4 linked regions of the Canis lupus familiaris genome follow. The protein of the gene in region 3 interacts with the protein of the main gene of each other region in a biochemical or structural test. Links are inferred from orthologs where the notes say so. Each region holds a gene or a part of one and is shown on either strand. Other genes may lie near its edges.

Region 1 (4,297 bases), on a different chromosome or scaffold from region 3:
ATCCCAGGATCAGATGTAAAGATTAAATGGGATAAATGTTGATGAGAGGCTATATAAATTGCCAGTGTTGTACAAACACAAGAATGGCCTACCTAAATTGTTTCTACTTTAACAAAAAGAAATCCTAACTGGCTTATGACAGATAAGAGACTCTCCAGGTGGGGCAGAAGTAATTTAACAGGCCGTCCAGCTTCTTTCCTCCCGGGTTTCAACTTCTCTGATTTCTTTCTTCTGCAAACATTACCGCATGCCCACTAGGTGATATAGGTCCTTATTCTTGATCTTCCAGAAGGGCCTAGCTGTCCTCCTTCTGGTCTCCCCCTTCTTCTTCCAAGTCAAGGTGTTCTATCTATAAAAAACGTCCTGCCTGCATGGGGGGGGGGGCACCCCCAACCCTTTTTCTGGTTGCATTTGGCACAGCTGAAATGAACTGTTATTTGTGAAACTTTTCCAGGTATTAAGAGAGACCCTCACCTCCCACCCCCCACCAGCCAAAGTACAGTCAAGTAGTCAAGTTTTTAAATTACAGAATTACAGATTGGAAGACTGGGAGAAGAAAAAAAAGAAAAAAGAAAGAAAAAAGAAAAAACTACTCTCTCCTCTCCAGCTGGATTTCAGTTCCTAAACTTCTGCTTCTCACACCCTTGTTCTAAGGAAGTGAGCCTTTCCCACCTTTCAAGAATACAATGAGGGCTCAGTGGCATGTAAGCCCCAAGCCCAAGTGAACAAAGCAGCCACTATATTCTGTCTTCATCCCCATAGAAACCTGGAGCACCCTCTTTCCTCTGATTCCCACAGGGTCAAGGTTGGTTTATTTTCAGCAGATGGGTGGCGAGGTTATTGTTATTTATTGCCACTGTCCTGATGTTAGTTTGGCTAAGTAATAAACCGAGGGTCCTTCTGGGGCATGGAACCTTCCACGGAGCTCTCTGTGCTTCGGCTAATCAACCAGATTTTGCAAAGGCCACGAAAAAAAAAAAAAAAAATCAGGCCTGCGCCGACCTCTCCCGGCCTCCGAGGCGAGGGCCGAGCGCCCTCCCGAGGGCCTGCTCCACCTCCCGCCAACTCGGAAAGCGCCTGCGGAGCAGAGGGGGGCCCCGCTTGCACCCAAAGGGGAGAAGAAACAGCTCGGCAGCCGACGGCAGAGCCGACATTGACACCTGTTCAGGCGGACTTAGGTGAATCTCCCTCTTGACTCCTAATTCCTTAAGTGGAATCGCCCCTAAGCACGAGTAAGGACTGCGCTCGAACCCCCGGCGGGGAGGGAGCGGGGCGGTGGAGGGTGCGCCTTCGGGGGTGCGGGCTTTGCAGCCCCCGCCGGGCCCGGGCTGTCTCCGTGTTTGAACTCGGCCCGCCCTAGAGTCACCGCGAGAACCCCCCCAGGTCGTCGAGCTGGCTCGCGCCGCAGCACAGCAAGTCAAGGCAACGCAATAGGAAGATTGAAAAAAAAAACGCGAAGCACGTGGCACCCAGAAGCTCACTTTTGTTGGCCCCTCTCCCGACCCGTAGCCGCGCCCTATTATGACCACGTGGGAGGCTCGCTCTATAAAAGCCGGGCTCGGAGCGTCCCGTCGCCACAGTCGCTTCCTGTTCTTGGCGCGTCGGTCGGCTCGTCGCTGAGGCCGCGGGGGCCGTGAAGATGGCGTCTACCAGCCGGTTAGTACGTCCGGCCGAGCCGCGCTCGCTGAGGGGCGGGCGGAGAGTGCCAGAGTGGGCAGGCGGGCCCCGGGGGGCCGTGTCGGGCAGAGCGTTCCGGAGGTGCGGGGGGAGGCGGTGGACTGGCTGGCCGAGCCGGACAAAGGCGCTTCCAGACGGCAGGGCTGTCAGGGGCGGCTCAGGGGCTGCCGACCGCGGCGCTCCCACAGCGGCGGTACCACCCGACGTCCTGGCTCGTGAGCTCATCCGGCCGCCACCCTGTGAGGGCCGCTGTGTCCCCAGCCCCCCCTCGTTTCGCGTCTTTTTTTGGGGGTGGGTGGGGGGGGGTGGATATCTTAACTGTGGTGTTTTTGTTTTTGTTTTTTTTGTGTGTGTTAATTTTTTTCTACGCTTGTTTTTCCAGCTGTGGCTCAACCAGCCCACGATCCTTTCCAAAAAGCGGGAAAGGGTTAGTTCCAGGCCCCTGTCGATCTGACAGCTGTAGAGTTAGGGACGTCAGCCCGAGGGGAACTGATTACCGTCCCAGAGGCCTTCCGAAATGGAAGCTGGGGGCGTTTCCGAAGAGTTGAGAAGTTCCCTTCTAAGAGGTTTATATTTTTACAGAGGTCTTCTGCATTCTCCTGAAGAAAATCTTGCCTGCAGACAATTGCTTACATACGCTGGGAAGTTACTAAGTCTTTTTTTTTTTTTTTTTTTTAACACTAAGATATTTTTTTTTTTAATGTGATATACTCCTATCTACAGGAAATAAGTGCAGTGCCCTTAAAGACAGCCTTTAATCCTGTGGTCCGAAAAAAATGTTTGTAGACCCTAATTAAGTCTCTCATTACCACTACGAGGTAGATATTAGTATTTTTGCATAAGTGTAAACTGAGTCATGCCGGTGTTGACTTTTCCAAGGTCAGTGTCAGAACAGAGTGTAGAATCCCTTATCAGTTTCCTGTTACCACGCAGCTGGCCTCTAGTTAGCTCATAATGTATTGAAAGTGTCAAGTTCTATAGCTTCTGGGGAGGTAACTGGCATAATTTTTTTGAATTTGTTATCCTCTGTGAGAATTGAGTTCCCAGTAAAAGCCAGTATCACAAAACAGCAAACTGGAGAAGTCCGGGCCCTTTTGTGGTACTGCTAAGACTTACTGCTTTATGTTACTGTACTTTTTAAGGGGGGAAAAAAAAACGGTGTTGGGGGAGGCAGTGTTAGCTAAAACAACTTGGAAACCACTCAAAGCCAGGGACACTCTTGTTTACTGATTGTACTTCTGTGATTGAATACTCAATCATTCGGTCTGGGTGTGGCTCTGTTGGGAAAGGCTTTTCTTGTAGGTAAGTGGAAAACTTGAGCTTCCTGAAGACACCTAACTACCACGTCTTAGGGCAGTAGATCTGAAAAGTAAATGTGGTCACACTTGGGCACAGCTTTTCCATAGGATAGGACAGGAATTTTGTAAGAAAAATTTGCAACAGTTAACTGTAGTTAAGTTCATGTGCTAGATTCTTTATCAAAAGAATACACTTACCATTGTGTGTCTCTATTTTCTTCATTTGTTAAAAAATAATTTTTGAAATAAATTGTTTCTGGACACGTCCAGGTCTTAAATCTATGTGTCATTGAGTTGTCCATCTCTAAATTTTCTACGGGTGAGAACAAAGGTAAAATGTTAGTATTTCTGCCTTTTAGTTTGTTTTTTTTTTTCCCCCCTTGAGGGAGAATAGTTACTAGATTATGAAACTGCCTGGTGTTTTCACAGAGAAAAACACAAATGTTGTGAGTTCAAGTCTAAACTCCACCATTTTTCTGTAATTTCAGGCTAATCGTTTTGTAAGCTTAATCTTTAGAAGGGAAATAACCTTTATTTTGCAGGGTTGCTATGAAAATGAATAATAAGTGTAGCACTAGGCACACAGTGGGGACCCAATAAGTGATCGTTATAAAGTGAGATTTGGGTTTATCTGGCTCCTTAGGTACTCTGAATTGTTTTAATGTCTTGGGTGGTTGTTTACTCCATTCTTTCTCTTTCATTTCTCTCTCTCCCTTCCCCCACTGCCCTACTCTTGTGGCTCCTTTTTGATTACTCTTGTGGATATTCTAATTAAAGTTGACTGCTGTATCATGATTCATTTTATTTTTTTTATTTTTTTATTTTTTTTATTTTTTAATATTTTATTTATTTATTCATGAGATACACAGAGAGAGAAGAGAGAGGCAGAGACACAGGCAGAGGGAGAAGCAGGCTCTACGCAGGGAGCCCGACATGGGACTCGACCCAGGTCTCCAGGATCACACCCTGGGCCGCAGGCGGTGCTAAACCACTGCACCACCAGGGCTGCCCCTCATGATTCATTTTATTTTGGATACGTAACACACAGTAGTACAAAAACAAAAGTGAAAAGAAGTTTCTTGCCTAGCTCTCAGCCATCTAATTCTCCCCTGAAAGCAGCCATCATAACCAGTTTCTTGGTGTTTTCCTAATAGTTTAACAAACTTGTTTAACAGTGCCAATCTCTCTTGTTCCCCCAAAGTCCATTGTAAACAGTTTGCTACCTTTTTACCATTTTTGTGAAGTTAGCACACATTTTAGGTGCACAGTTCAGTTAAAAATGAGCGCATAGACATAGCTACCACCCCAGTCAAGAAATTAAT
Region 2 (4,271 bases), on a different chromosome or scaffold from region 3:
CGGTCAGGCCGCAGTCAGGGCTGTTTTTCTCGCCCTGACACTTCTCCTGTCAACAAACAGAGCCCCCTCTAGAGTTTACCCAAACAAACGCCCCAACAGTCCGCAGTGCCCAGGCCTCCACAGAACTGCCTCAGCAGGACGGCCTCCAAGCCCGGCCTCCAAGCCCAGCCTCCAAAGAGTCATGTGACCCTGTTATTTCGGGAGGCCCCGGAATGTGCTCTATTTTGGGTCCCTCGGGGCTCTGATGTTACCAGAAGCCCCTTACCAGGGTTCCAAGCTCACGCAGGTCCCCCGAGAGTCCCCCAGAGGATGGCCAGTGGGCCTGTGGCTCTGCTACTGGCCGCCCTGTCCCCTCAGGCAGCTAGTGAGCTACTGTTAGCCAAGCCGGGTCTGGCCAGGCCTGGGACCTCTGGGCCTCCTCTGTAGGCCTCCCTCATGGGTGTGGGGGGCACTGGGAGCAGGGGCTGCCTCAGACCACTCAGCCCCCAGATCTATAGCTGGGGCTCGTCCCTGTCCTTACCAGGTAGCTCGGTGGGCAGCAGCTAGGAAACAAACTCCCAGGTGGAGGAGGGCAAGGGCCCAGACCCACCAGGCCCCGAGGCAGGGGGCGCTGGGGGAGGAGGCCCTCTCTGCCCAAGGCCCCGCAAGCACAGTAGAGGGCTGTGTGGCCTTCCTGGCAGCGCCAGGGCTGGCCTGGGCTGCCAGCCGGGCCCTGGCCGAGTGAGCGAGTGAGCGGGGCCTTCTGACACTCACCCCCAGGAGGGATTAGGCTGTGTTTACAAAAGAGCTTGGGCAAGTAGCTGCTTAATCGGACCTTCAACTCCACCGCACTTCAGAGCTGGTCACAAGCTCAGAAAAAATAAAATGTCATCAGACAGAGCCCAGGACTCTCCACTCAAGCCTGGGGCTTGGGCTGCTGGGAGGCCACCGGCCTGGAGGAGGAAAGCCTCTGAGTCTCTGAGTGACCCATCCAGCTTCCTGGGGCAATGGCTCAGAGGCAGGACCTCCCCTTTCCGTGGGGATTCCAGCACAACTACCCTGCAGCCTGAGCCCTACATGGGCCAACTCCTGGGACCCTCCCAGAACGTCAAAGCCTGTTCCTGCTCCCCTCCTAGTACCCAGCCAGGGCCCTGCCACGTTCGGGGCGGGGAGCAAAGACAGCCAGACGTTCCTGCTCCAGAAGGGATCCTCTGGGAGAGCCTAGCTCTGTGCACATAGGAGTGTGCTCCAGCCTTGACCAGCAAGGGGGGGCGGGGGGGGGGCAGGGGGAGGAAGACGACACTACTTAGCTTTATTTTCTCTTCCACACACACTGGCACCCACTGACTGGGGGGTTAAAATCCAGAATCCACCACTTTGTATCCTGTGGCCTCAGCTTCTCCCAGTTTTCTCATCCGCAAAATGGGCACATATGTCCACCTCTGGAGGCTATGGGGAGGACCAGGCTCATGCAAGGAGGGCACTCAGCTTGGTCCCTTTGGAGATCTTCACCTTACAGAATCAGAGAGGGCATCTTCCTCCATCTGACAAACCTGACGAACCTTGTTCCAGTCTCCCTGCAGCAGCCCCCGTTTGTGAGTGGGCTGCGGGGTACCTAGGGGTGCTCAGATCCTCCCCCTGACCCATGGGCAGGGGGAAGGCAGCTCCACACTGGCTCCCCTCCACCTCCCAATCTCAGCAAAGGTCGGTACAGCTGTGCTGGGTTCTGACCGCCAACCTGGTGGCCAAACTGCGCCCCAGGCTGCAGGGGGGTGGGCAGGCAGGAGGGGCAACTGACCGAGGGCTTTCATTCATAATCAGCTGTTTTAATTTCCATTCAGCACAGATCCTTCACCCAGCCTGACAGCCTGGCTGCCGGCCCCACCACCAAATTAATATCCTTCGCGGCGCCCGTTCATAAAGTCTCCCCACCCCCTCCCCCTCCCCTGCCTCTCACAGGCTCCCCAACCCTAGGGAGGGCAGCGGCTGGGGGCGCCCAGCCAAGCCCCTTCCTCCTGCTACGTGGGTCGTGGGTCGGGGCCTGGAGTCGGGACGCGGTCTGGGGCAGGGCAGCCCCTGGGCGGGATGGCACCGGGAGGGCGGGAGAACTGAGCCTCCGCGCCCGGGGTGTCCTTCCCCCAAGTGCAGAGCCGGCCCCCGAGAACGCCCCGCACCACGCCCGGGTGCGCCGGAGCAGGGGGCGCCGGTTCTGGGATTCCCGGCGCTCCGGCCCCCGGGTGACCCTGCGCACCCGCCGAGCCGCTCCGGGAGGAGGGGTCCGCGCGTCCCCGGCCGGCGGCCTGCTGGCCTCGGCAGCCCGGGCGGCGGCGCACAGGCCGTCCCGGTGCCAGGCGGCCGCAGGCTGGGAGCGCACAAGTTGCTCCGCCCGCCCCGGCCCGGCCCCTGCGCAGCCCGGCGCGAGCTGTGCGCCCGGGGCTGCCGGCGGACCGGCGTGGCCAGGGGAGGGGGCGCCGGGGGACCCCCGCCCGCAGCCGGCCGCCCGCTCTCCCCCGCCGCCGCCGCCGCCGCCGCCGCTCCCGCCCCGCGCCCCGCGCCCCGCGCCCCGCGCCCCGGCCGGCCCGGGAAAAGTTGCCCGGCCGCCCGCCCCAGGCCGGCGCCCCAAGTCGGCGAGGCCGCGGGGGGCGCGGGGGCGCGGGGCCGAGCGGGCCGGGGACGCGCCCCGCCGCCCCGCCGCCCCGCGCCCCGCGCCCCGCGCCCCGCCGGCCCGCGAGCACTCACCGAGCGGCAGGAAATGTTTGGTGTCCATGTCGGCGGCCCCCGCGGCCGGGGCGGGACGGCGGGGCGAGCGCGGCGGCCCCCGGCGCGGCCGGCCGGGCCCGGGCGGCGGGAGCCGGCGGCGGCGGGGCGGCGGCGGCGCGCGGAGGCCGCGGCGCGGCGAGTTGTTGCAAAAGTCGCCCAACAATGTAAACTACTTGCGCTGCGCGCCGCCGCCGGCTCCCGCGCCCGCGCCCGCGCCCGCGCCCCCGCCCGCGCCCGCGCCCCCGCCGCGCGCGCCCGCGTCCGCTCCTCTCCGACCGCCGCGGCGCCGGCGGGGGGGCGGCGGGGGGCCCGCGACGGGCGCGGACTCGGCGCAGCGCCGCCGCCGCCGCCGCCGCCGCCCCGCCCCGCCCCGCCCCGCCCGGCCCGGCCCGGCCCGGCCGCCCCGCCCGGCGCGCGCCCCCCCGCGGACCCCGCGCCCCCGCGCCCCCGCGCCCCCGCGAGCACGCGCGCTGGGCCGCGAGCGCGGAGCGGGCGGCGCGCAAACTTGCGAGTTGGCCGCGGCCGGGCTTCCCGGGAGCCGCGCGGGGCGGCGGGGGAGGGGCGGGCGCGGGGTTCCCTCCTCGCAGAGGGGGAGGCGGGCGGGCGGGCGGGCGGCGGGGCCCTAGGCGGCCGGGCCATTGTCTGGGCGGCCACACAAAGCGGCCGGCCGCGCCGCGCCCCGCCCCCGCCCGCCGCCACGTGGGGAAACTGAGGCCCGCGGCGGCCCGAGCTCGCGCAGGGGTGCGGGCCGGGCCTCCGCCGCGAGCCCTCCAGCGTCTGGGCCTGTGCCCCAGCCGCCCCCCACCCCCGCTTCCACGCCCCTGGGAAGCCCTGGTCGCCGACACCCTGGGCCCGGAGGGAGGGCGGGGGGCCCGGGATCCCTGCACGCCGGCCCGACTCCGACTTCGGGGACCCTCTTTAGAAGCACCGGGCTGGGGAGGAGCTGCCCTGAGTTGGGTGCTGACTTCGGGGCCCCGGGGCTACTTCTCTGCCCTGACTTTTAAATTCCTGATTTGTTTGCTGAAAAAAGAAAGGAAGCACGCTGCCCCGGACCGCTTGGCGGCCGGAGTCGGGGTTCAAGGGTTACCTGCGTGGGGCGGACCTCACCGAGCAGATGCAGCCCGGAGGCGCCCCCTCGCCATCCGCCCCCACAAGCCCTGCTGCACCCATCCTTGGCAGGGAGACCCAGGCTCCAGGAGGTGGAGGGGCTTAGCAAAGTCACATGGGCTGCACATGGTGATCCTGGCCCCCCCCCGGGGGGGGGGGCGCTAGTGATTGGAAGTTGATGGCCTTGCTGCCCAGAGACCCCCACTCCCCATCATTGACAAAAAAGCCAGTCCTACTGCCTGGTGCACCGCTGCTACCAGTGTGACACTGGGTTAGCCTTGCCCCCCATCTGGGCTTCACTTTCTGCTCTGTGAAATGGGGAGTGTAGCAGGACCTGCCTGCCACCTGACAGCCGGGAGCTAGGGCCACTCTGACCTGCCCTGGGGGGAGGCTGTCATTCCACTTGGGGCAGGAGCATGGCAGGG
Region 3 (4,157 bases):
AGAGAAGCAGGCTCCATAGAGGGAGCCTGATGTGGGACTCCATCCCAGGATCCCAGGACTCCAGGATCATTCCCTGAGCTGAAGGCAGACGCTCAACTGCCAAGCCACCCAGGCGTCCCCATCTGTGAACTTCCTATGAGCTTCATCATTGAAGTACTACTCTGTAACATCATCTTGTTCCCAGGAGTTCATTTCCCAGAGTCGTTAGTACAGTTACGGGCACACCATCCTCCCATCACATATTCCAAGTACCTGTCTTCTATCTGACTTCCTGCCAGCCTTGAAGCTAACACCTTAAGGGCAGATCCAGGTCTTCTTTGTCTCATTAACCGCCCCCCCCCCCAACCCCCACCACAGCCAGCACAGAGCTGGACACAGAAGAGGTGACAAATACACTAGATGCCTGCATGAAGCCAGAGCTCCTCTAGTGGGCCATTCCCCACCAACCCCTTCCTCCTCACAGGCTTGTCCCTCCCTCTACCCTTCCCATGGCTCCTTGGTCACTTACGGTTGTCAAAGATGGGATGGGAGAGGACAGGTGACAAGCGCAGGGGCCTGCCTGCCGGGTCCCGCACTGTCACCTGGAAGCAGAGCCGCACCGCATTCAGGTCATAGTCCCCACGCTGTTCTTCTATGGGAACTGCCACAAGAATAGACGGTCAGGGGACCGGGAGGCGTGGCAGGGGATGAGGGGGGCAGGGAGCTCTGGACCCGGGAGCATTGTCTGAGGGTGTGTCAAACAGTGGGAGTCCTAAAGGAGGAGAGAGAGAAGATTCTAGACCCATCACTGAACTGTGTGACCCACCTGTGCCCCTGGGTGTTATGCCCCCTCACTGGCTCCCAGTTTCCCCAGTGGTAAATGGGAGTGGGTACTGAATGGGCAGCAAAATTCCATCAGTACTAAGAGTCTTGGCCAATAAGGGAGGTGGCTTGGAAGAACCAGAGAGGGTGGGGGTGCTTCGGACAGGTCTCAGCCTTTGCTCCCTCAGCCCTCAACTTGTTTTTTATTTTATTTTATTTTATTTTTTAAATTTATGATAGTCAGGCAGAGAGAGAGAGAGAGGCAGAGACATAGGCAGAGGGAGAAGCAGGCTCCATGCACCGGGAGCCCGACGTGGGATTCGATCCCGGGTCTCCAGGATCGCGCCCTGGGCCAAAGGCAGGCGCCAAACCGCTGCGCCACCCAGGGATCCCTCAGCCCTCACCTTGGAAGGGGTTGTTGTTGGTCTGGATGCGCTGGCTGATGGCCTGCTCCAGGTCCCGCTTCTTTACACACTGGATCCCCAGGTTCTGGAAGCTGAGTCCCTCTCCATGTATTAGTCCCATTGTCTCTGCCCAGTCTGTTCCTCCCTCCCCTCCCCATTCACCAAATCACCACTGTGCTTCCTATTGTGCTGTAAAGAAACCCACTCTTTACCTTGGCTGACAAGCATCTGTGCCCTGCTGCCTGGGCTCCCTACCCTCAGTAACAGCCGCTTCTTTTCTGTTTCCCAAACACCCTAAACTCACCCCCACTTCAAGACCTTTGCATTTGTTCACTCTGCTTGAAATGTTTTTTCCCATGCTTCTCTGCTCTCCTCACTATTCAAGCCTTAACAGAGAGGCTTTTCCTGACCTCCAACTTGCCGACCTTCCCTCCACCAGTGGGCTATTCTTCCAACCTAACTATGTTATTTTCATCAGTGAAGTTACTTTGGGGGTTCAGAGGTTATTAGGGATCCATTCCTATCCCATGGAGCTCATATCTACTTGACAGTTGAGATGCACAGATGATTTCAAGGCAAAGAGAATCTGCTTGCAAAGCTAGAAGTGAAGAATTCTTCCCAGTGTCCAGAATGGAGTAACACTATAACAGCTACACACCCACCCAGCCTCCCGTCTCCTCACCTCACCCCCCATACCCGGCTGGTCAGGAGTTCACCTGTGGATGCAGCGGTCGGGGCAGAGCTCAGCCTCATAGAAGCCATCCCGGCAGTCTTTCCCCACAAGCTCATGGGGATGAGGCCGGTGAGGGGGGTCCTTGGTGACCAGGGAGATGCGAACTGTCCCTGGCCCCGTGTAGCCATTGATCTGTTCAAAGTACAGAGAACTTCTAGAGACTCCGGGAAGTCCAAACCTAACTCCCAGACACTGCACCCAGCCCCACCCCCCACCTGGAGGCGGCAAACCCACCCTGTGCCCCCCACACCACCACTAACAGTCATGCTGACCTTGATGGTGGGGTGGGTCTTGGTGGTGTCTGTGCTCCTCTCGCCCGGGATGCTGCCCGCTGAGCGGCCCTCGCACTTGTAGCGGAAGCGCATGCCCCGCTGCTTGGGTTGCTCGATGATCTCCACATAGGGGCCAGAGGCCTGGGCGGGCTCTGTGGCCAGACCCGGACCAGCTCCAATCAGGCGGCTGCCCTCCTCGCCCCTAACCCCAGGGCACTCCTCCCCCAATCACCGAGAGGGAAGGCGGTCCACTTACCAGCTGGGAAGATGAGGGGAAACAGGTCTGAAAGGGAGGGAGACAAGGATCAGCACAAGCCCCCTTTCCCCCTTTCCGTCCTTACCGGGGAGCGCCTGCTTCCTCACGGAGAGGACAGAGCGCCAGGCTCCCTCCCCGCCAAGGGCACTGGGGCAGGGCCCGCTCCCTGGAACCTGCGGTGAAACTAAGGGGAAGGGGTGAAGAAGGCAGAAACAGCTGTTTCCCGAGGGAAAACTGGCCAGAGCGCCTTCTCCTTACTGAGGGAAACGGAGTCAGAGGCTGTTCTACTTCCAAAAGGAAAACTACGGAGGGCACCCCCACGCCTCATCCTGAGAGCAAACGGAGTCGGATACACTTTCCCCTAACGAGGAAACGAAGTCAGACCTGCGCCCAGGGCCCCGGAGTGAAGCTGGGCCGAAGCTCCCCGCCACCCCGGAGATTACGGAGTCAAGACCCCGCCACCCAGTGGGGAAACTGAGTCAGACCCTTCAAAGCCCGCCCCGCCCCGCGCCACCATCCGGCCGGCCGCTCCCTGCGCAGCACCCGCCGGCGCAGGAAGGGGCGGAAGGCGGCGCGGGGGCTCCCGTCGCCATCCCCGCGGCCCCGACGCGCCCACCCCGCGGGGTCAGAGGGCGCCCTCACCGTCCATGGCTGGGGTCCCGGGGGCGGGGCCGGGGTCGCAGCTGGGCCCGCGGCGCGCGCTACAGCCAAGCCATTCGCCAGAGGCGGAAATGCGCCGCGCGCGCCCGCCGCCGCGTCACTGCCGGGAATCCGGCCGCGCCTGCGCGCTGCGCCACCTCCGCCGCCGCCGCGGCCGCCGCAGCCCCTGCCGCTGCCGCTGCCGCCGCCACCCTGGGGCGGGGCGGGGCGGGGGGCAACTGTGCCCCGCGCCGACGACGGAGAGGCCGCGCGCCGGACGCCACGGCCCGAGGCTGGGGACAGGTTGCGCCGCTCCGGGGACTAAGAGGCTGCTCGTCCCGACGCCGCTCCGGGGCTGGCAGGGCTGCTGGGCTCCCTCCCCGGTCTGGGCTCCGTCTGGAGGGCGGGCCCGGTGATTACTCACAATGTTTTTAGGGGATTTCGGGGGCCCCCTCCCGCTGATCGGAGGAGTTTGGTGATGTCACCGGGCCCGGTCTGGAGCCCAGCCAGGACTGCTGGCTGCGGCCGCCTGCCCTGCGCAGGGAAAGGCCCGGGCCTAATTCGCCCGCAAAGGCCAGGTGACCGAACTCCACGGGGCTTCTGACCGCTAAAGGTGCCTCTTGGTGGTGGTCGCGGCATAAGCATTTTTTAATTAGCCACCCACCGCCGTGGGGGCGAAGGGGGACGACCTGATCTCTCCACCTGGCAGCGCCTGCACCGTGGGCTTTGTGGAGCCTGCTGCTCGAGGGCGACCCAGGTGGCGCCGCGTCTGCTCCCGCTGGCGAGGGGGCACCTGAGGGCTTTTAGGGTTAAGAAGCCTGTGCGTTTACGGTTCCTCCATACTGTCGGCCCTCGGGGGCGATGGATGGACAAGAGGCGCCCAGGGGTAAATCTTCGGAGCCTCGTCTCTGCAGCCAGATATCCTTCTTAGAAAGTCCGGTACTTCTGGGGCCGCCTAAACCGACAGGGTCATTCCCGCCTCCGCTCGTCTCTCCAGGGCCTACTGCTAGGGTCCAAAGCATTTCCACTAATTACCCACCAAATGACCTCTC
Region 4 (3,592 bases), on a different chromosome or scaffold from region 3:
TCTTCCTACATAATGTGGCCTGCTAGCCGGATCCCCCAAACACCGGACCCTACAGAGGTCACAGACGTACAGGTCCCTCCCTCTAAACTCAAGCCTGGCACTCGGGACAAGCCGACCTCTTCCCAAGCAGGGTTCCGGGTCACTCCTCCCCAGCACTCAGGGGCGCTGAGTCACCCTGAGAGCCCCAGAAACCTGGCATCCCCCACCTCCAAGCACAGACCCTGGAGGGAGCAGCAGTGGAGGGAGGACCAAAAAAAAAAAAAAAAAAAAGCACACACACACACACGACACAGCTGTTAACACCGCCACCCAACCACCAAAAAACCCCCAAAATAATAGAAACCCCCCAACACACAACAACCCCACCCCCCCCTACCCCCCCACACACCCCCATCCAGGAAAGCACATCTAAAATCATCTAAACCAAAAAATAAATTAAAAAAAAAAAAATCGAAAGCCAACTACTGCCCCCAAAAGGCTTTTAACCATTCTCCAAAAAAAAAAAAAAAAAAAAAAAGTTTATTAAAAGTGTTCTTAATGCTTGAAACGGAAAAGATCCCCAAATATACAGACGCCTCTTTTCTCATAGAAATAGATTATTTTTTTTATAATACAAAAAAAAAAAAAGGACCAAAAAACAACAACATCAACGACATCAACAACAACAACAACAACAACGCATCAACAGCAACAAGCCCGTAGGAACATCTTTAAGCGATTACTCAGGGCCCGGCTGACAGTTACACGTGGGTTGCGTCAGTCCCGTGTACACTCGCGTTCAGCCATGTTCGAGCCGATTGCATCAACTTCGGAACCGGCCCGCCCGCCGGCGCCCGGAGAGGAGGCAGGGGAGGCAGCGAGCCTGTCACTCATCTGTGCACATAGACACGTCTTCTTTAAATAACACCACGGGCGGGCGCCCCGTCTGCATGTGCGGTTGGTTTGGACAAAAATATAGATATATATATATATATAATAAAATATTAAAATTACCGACGAGCTCCCCGCGCCGCCAAGCGCCCCGGTGCCAAAGTTTCGCCGGCGCCCCGGGGGCGGGGGCGGGGGCGGGGGCGGGGGCGCGGGTCCCCGCGGCGCGGCCGGCAGCGCGCGGGCAGGCGGGCGGGCGCGCGGGCGGGCGGGCGCGCGGGCGGAGCGAGCGGGCGGCCGGCCGGCCGGCGGGGGGCCGCGCGCGGGGGCCGCGCTAGCAGTGGCCGGAGGAGGCGAGCAGGGGCTCGGGCAGCTGCTTGAACAAGTTCCGCAGGGTGCTGAGCTCGCGCGACAGCTGCTCCACCTTCTTCTGCAGCCGCTCGTTCTCGGCCGTGAGCTCCAGGACCTTGTGCTGCGTCTCCAGGTTGCGCATCTTGGCCTTGTCGCGGCTCTTGCGCACCGCGATGTTGTTGCGCTCGCGCCGGATCTTGTACTCGTCGCTGTGCTTGTCCACCGTCTTCTTGGCCTTGCTCTTGACCTGCGAGGGCGCCGGCGCCGCCCCCGCGTAGCAGGCGGCCGGGGGCGCCTTGGCGTCGGCGGGGCTCGGCGTGCCGGGCGGGCTGGACGACGAGGACGTGGACAGGCTCCCGCTGCTGCCGCTCGGCACCGCCTGGTAGCCGAGGTAGGCGCGCAGCGCGTACGGGAAGCCAGCCGCCATGCCTGCGGCGCCGCCGCCCGGCGCCCCGGCCTCCTCCTTCCGCTTGCAGTCCGCGGGCTCGAAGCCCGGCTCCGCCTTGAGCTCGGCGGGCTGCGGCGGCGGCGGCGGGGGCGGCGGGTGCAGGGGCGCGAAGCAGCCGGGGTGCAGCGCGCCCTTGGCGGCCCCCAGGCGCCCCAGGCTCACGTAGCCGTACTCGGACGCCTTCTTGCAGTTCTTGCCTCCGTAGTCGTCGGAGAAGAGGTCGGAGAGGAAGTCGTGGTGCTGCCCGGAGGAGGCGGGCGCGGGGGCGGGCGCGGGCGGGGCCGCCTCGAAGGTGTCCGTGGCTGTGGCCGGCGCCGGGGCCTGCGGCGCGCCCAGCGGCTCCAGGTACGGGCTGAAGTCGATGGCGCGCTCGTGGTCGCCGATGCTGCCCAGCTCGCCGGCGGGGGGGCGCGGCCCGGGTCTGGCCGCGGGGGGCGCCGCGGGGGCCGCCTTGCCGCCGTACGCAGCAGCCAAGCAGTCCGCCTCGTAGTAGAAGTTGGCCACTTCCATGGATTTAAAGGCGGGCGGCGGCGGCAGGGGCAGACATGCTGGGTCCCAGGCCACCAGGCGTTGCATGAACGCGGGTGCCCGGGGAGGGGGCCTGGGGCTGCCCGCTCCGGCCGGCCCGCAGGTGGCGCGGCCTCCCGGCTCCGACCGTGGCCGCTGGGTCGCCGCCGCCGCCGCCGCTGCTGCCGCCGGGGGGCCGCTGCCGCCGGGGGGCCGCTGCCGGTGCGGGGGCTGACGGCTGGACCCTCGCGTGGGTCCTCTTCCCGGTCCCGTGCGCGGCTCTGACTCGCTAAAGTTTCTCCCGAGCCCGGTTATTTATAAGGCGACCCATGGCAACGGCTGCGTCACGCTGGCAGCCGCCCCGGCCCCTCCCGCCGCCGCCGGGACGCGGGGTGGCGGCCCGAGACCCCCGCGAGGGCGCCGGCGGGGCCCGGCGGCCCGACCCGAGAGCCGGGGCGCGCCCTCGGGGGGTCCGCGGGCCCGCGGGGGGGCGGCCTGACGCCCCCTGCCCACCCCCACCCGGCGGCGCGGGGATTGGGAGCGAGGAGGGGCGGCGCGACCCCGCCCCCGGACCGCCCCCTCCGGGCTGGAGGCCGCCCCGGGGGGGCCGCGGGGAGGGGGCAGCGCGACCGCCTTCCCCCTCCCGAAGCACGGCCGCCGCCCGCCCCCTGCTGGAGGCGGCGGAGGCTTCGGGACCCGCCGAGCCCGCCCGGACGCCCCACGGAGGAGGCCGGCGCTCCCCAGGCCGGATCCCGGAGACCCCGGCCCCGCCCCGGCCCCCCGAGAGGTGACCCACCTGCACCGTCCTTCCCCCGCGCGGCCGGCCCCTCCCCGCCCCAAAACTTGCTCCCAACCCCAGCCCTCGGAAGGAGGGGATTCCACGCTGGGGGAGGCCCCCCGCCCCTCCTAAAGGCACGTCTAACGCAAGGACCCCGGTGGGGGGCACTTCGGGGGAGAGCCCCACCGGGACCTCGGCCGCGGCGACTGCGCCGCCCCCAGCCCCGCCCACCGGCCCTGCCCGCCCCCTTAGACCACACCTGGGTCTTCTCTGGCCCCACCCGACCCTGACCTGGGCCCAGGGAGGTGGAAGGGGGTGGGTGGGGGGTGCTCGGCGGCCACGCTGCGTGACCTTGGGCGAGTCACTTCACTCCAAGCTCCTTCCATGAAAGTGCTGTTACGGTTATTATTATTAGTTGTATCATTGTCTCCACCACGGACTCCCAAACAGAAGGCTTAATTTAAGTTTGAGGTCCACTCTGGGAGGCACATCAGAAAGAAGCCACCTCCCTCCCACAGGGTACAAAGAAGCCCGGGGGGGGGGGGGCATAGGACACCCAAGGTCACAGGGCCTCATGTCCCCCACTAGTCTTAAAAGCTCTTATCAGAGCACCCTAAGACCTTTTTGCCAACCTGAGGTCA

What was found.
Region 1: the proteins of RELA (region 3) and GTF2B form a complex in vitro, tested with the Homo sapiens proteins (2 studies listed by BioGRID and IntAct). The link is inferred for Canis lupus familiaris from reciprocal best matches to the Homo sapiens genes RELA and GTF2B.
Region 2: the proteins of RELA (region 3) and RXRA form a complex in vitro, tested with the Homo sapiens proteins (2 studies listed by BioGRID). The link is inferred for Canis lupus familiaris from reciprocal best matches to the Homo sapiens genes RELA and RXRA.
Region 4: the proteins of RELA (region 3) and CEBPB form a complex in vitro, tested with the Homo sapiens proteins (2 studies listed by BioGRID). The link is inferred for Canis lupus familiaris from reciprocal best matches to the Homo sapiens genes RELA and CEBPB.

Annotation. Positions count from the first base shown.
Region 1 is NC_049227.1:60,008,303-60,012,599, forward strand, and holds the start of GTF2B (transcription initiation factor IIB), read left to right. Parts: upstream 1-1,497; 5' UTR 1,498-1,639; coding exon 1,640-1,656; intron 1,657-4,297. UniProt on the Homo sapiens protein: General transcription factor that plays a role in transcription initiation by RNA polymerase II (Pol II). Involved in the pre-initiation complex (PIC) formation and Pol II recruitment at promoter DNA.
Region 2 is NC_049230.1:50,540,142-50,544,412, reverse strand, and holds the start of RXRA (retinoic acid receptor RXR-alpha), read right to left. Parts: upstream 2,801-4,271; 5' UTR 2,747-2,800; coding exon 2,719-2,746; intron 1-2,718. UniProt on the Homo sapiens protein: Receptor for retinoic acid that acts as a transcription factor.
Region 3 is NC_049239.1:52,050,704-52,054,860, reverse strand, and holds the start of RELA (transcription factor p65), read right to left. Parts: upstream 2,810-4,157; 5' UTR 2,795-2,809; coding exon 2,725-2,794; intron 2,494-2,724; coding exon 2,467-2,493; intron 2,384-2,466; coding exon 2,211-2,383; intron 2,071-2,210; coding exon 1,922-2,070; intron 1,298-1,921; coding exon 1,206-1,297; intron 641-1,205; coding exon 509-640; intron 1-508. UniProt on the Homo sapiens protein: NF-kappa-B is a pleiotropic transcription factor present in almost all cell types and is the endpoint of a series of signal transduction events that are initiated by a vast array of stimuli related to many biological processes such as inflammation, immunity, differentiation, cell growth, tumorigenesis and apoptosis.
Region 4 is NC_049245.1:37,284,659-37,288,250, reverse strand, and holds CEBPB (CCAAT/enhancer-binding protein beta), read right to left. Parts: upstream 2,341-3,592; 5' UTR 2,243-2,340; coding exon 1,202-2,242; 3' UTR 501-1,201; downstream 1-500. UniProt on the Homo sapiens protein: Important transcription factor regulating the expression of genes involved in immune and inflammatory responses. Also plays a significant role in adipogenesis, as well as in the gluconeogenic pathway, liver regeneration, and hematopoiesis.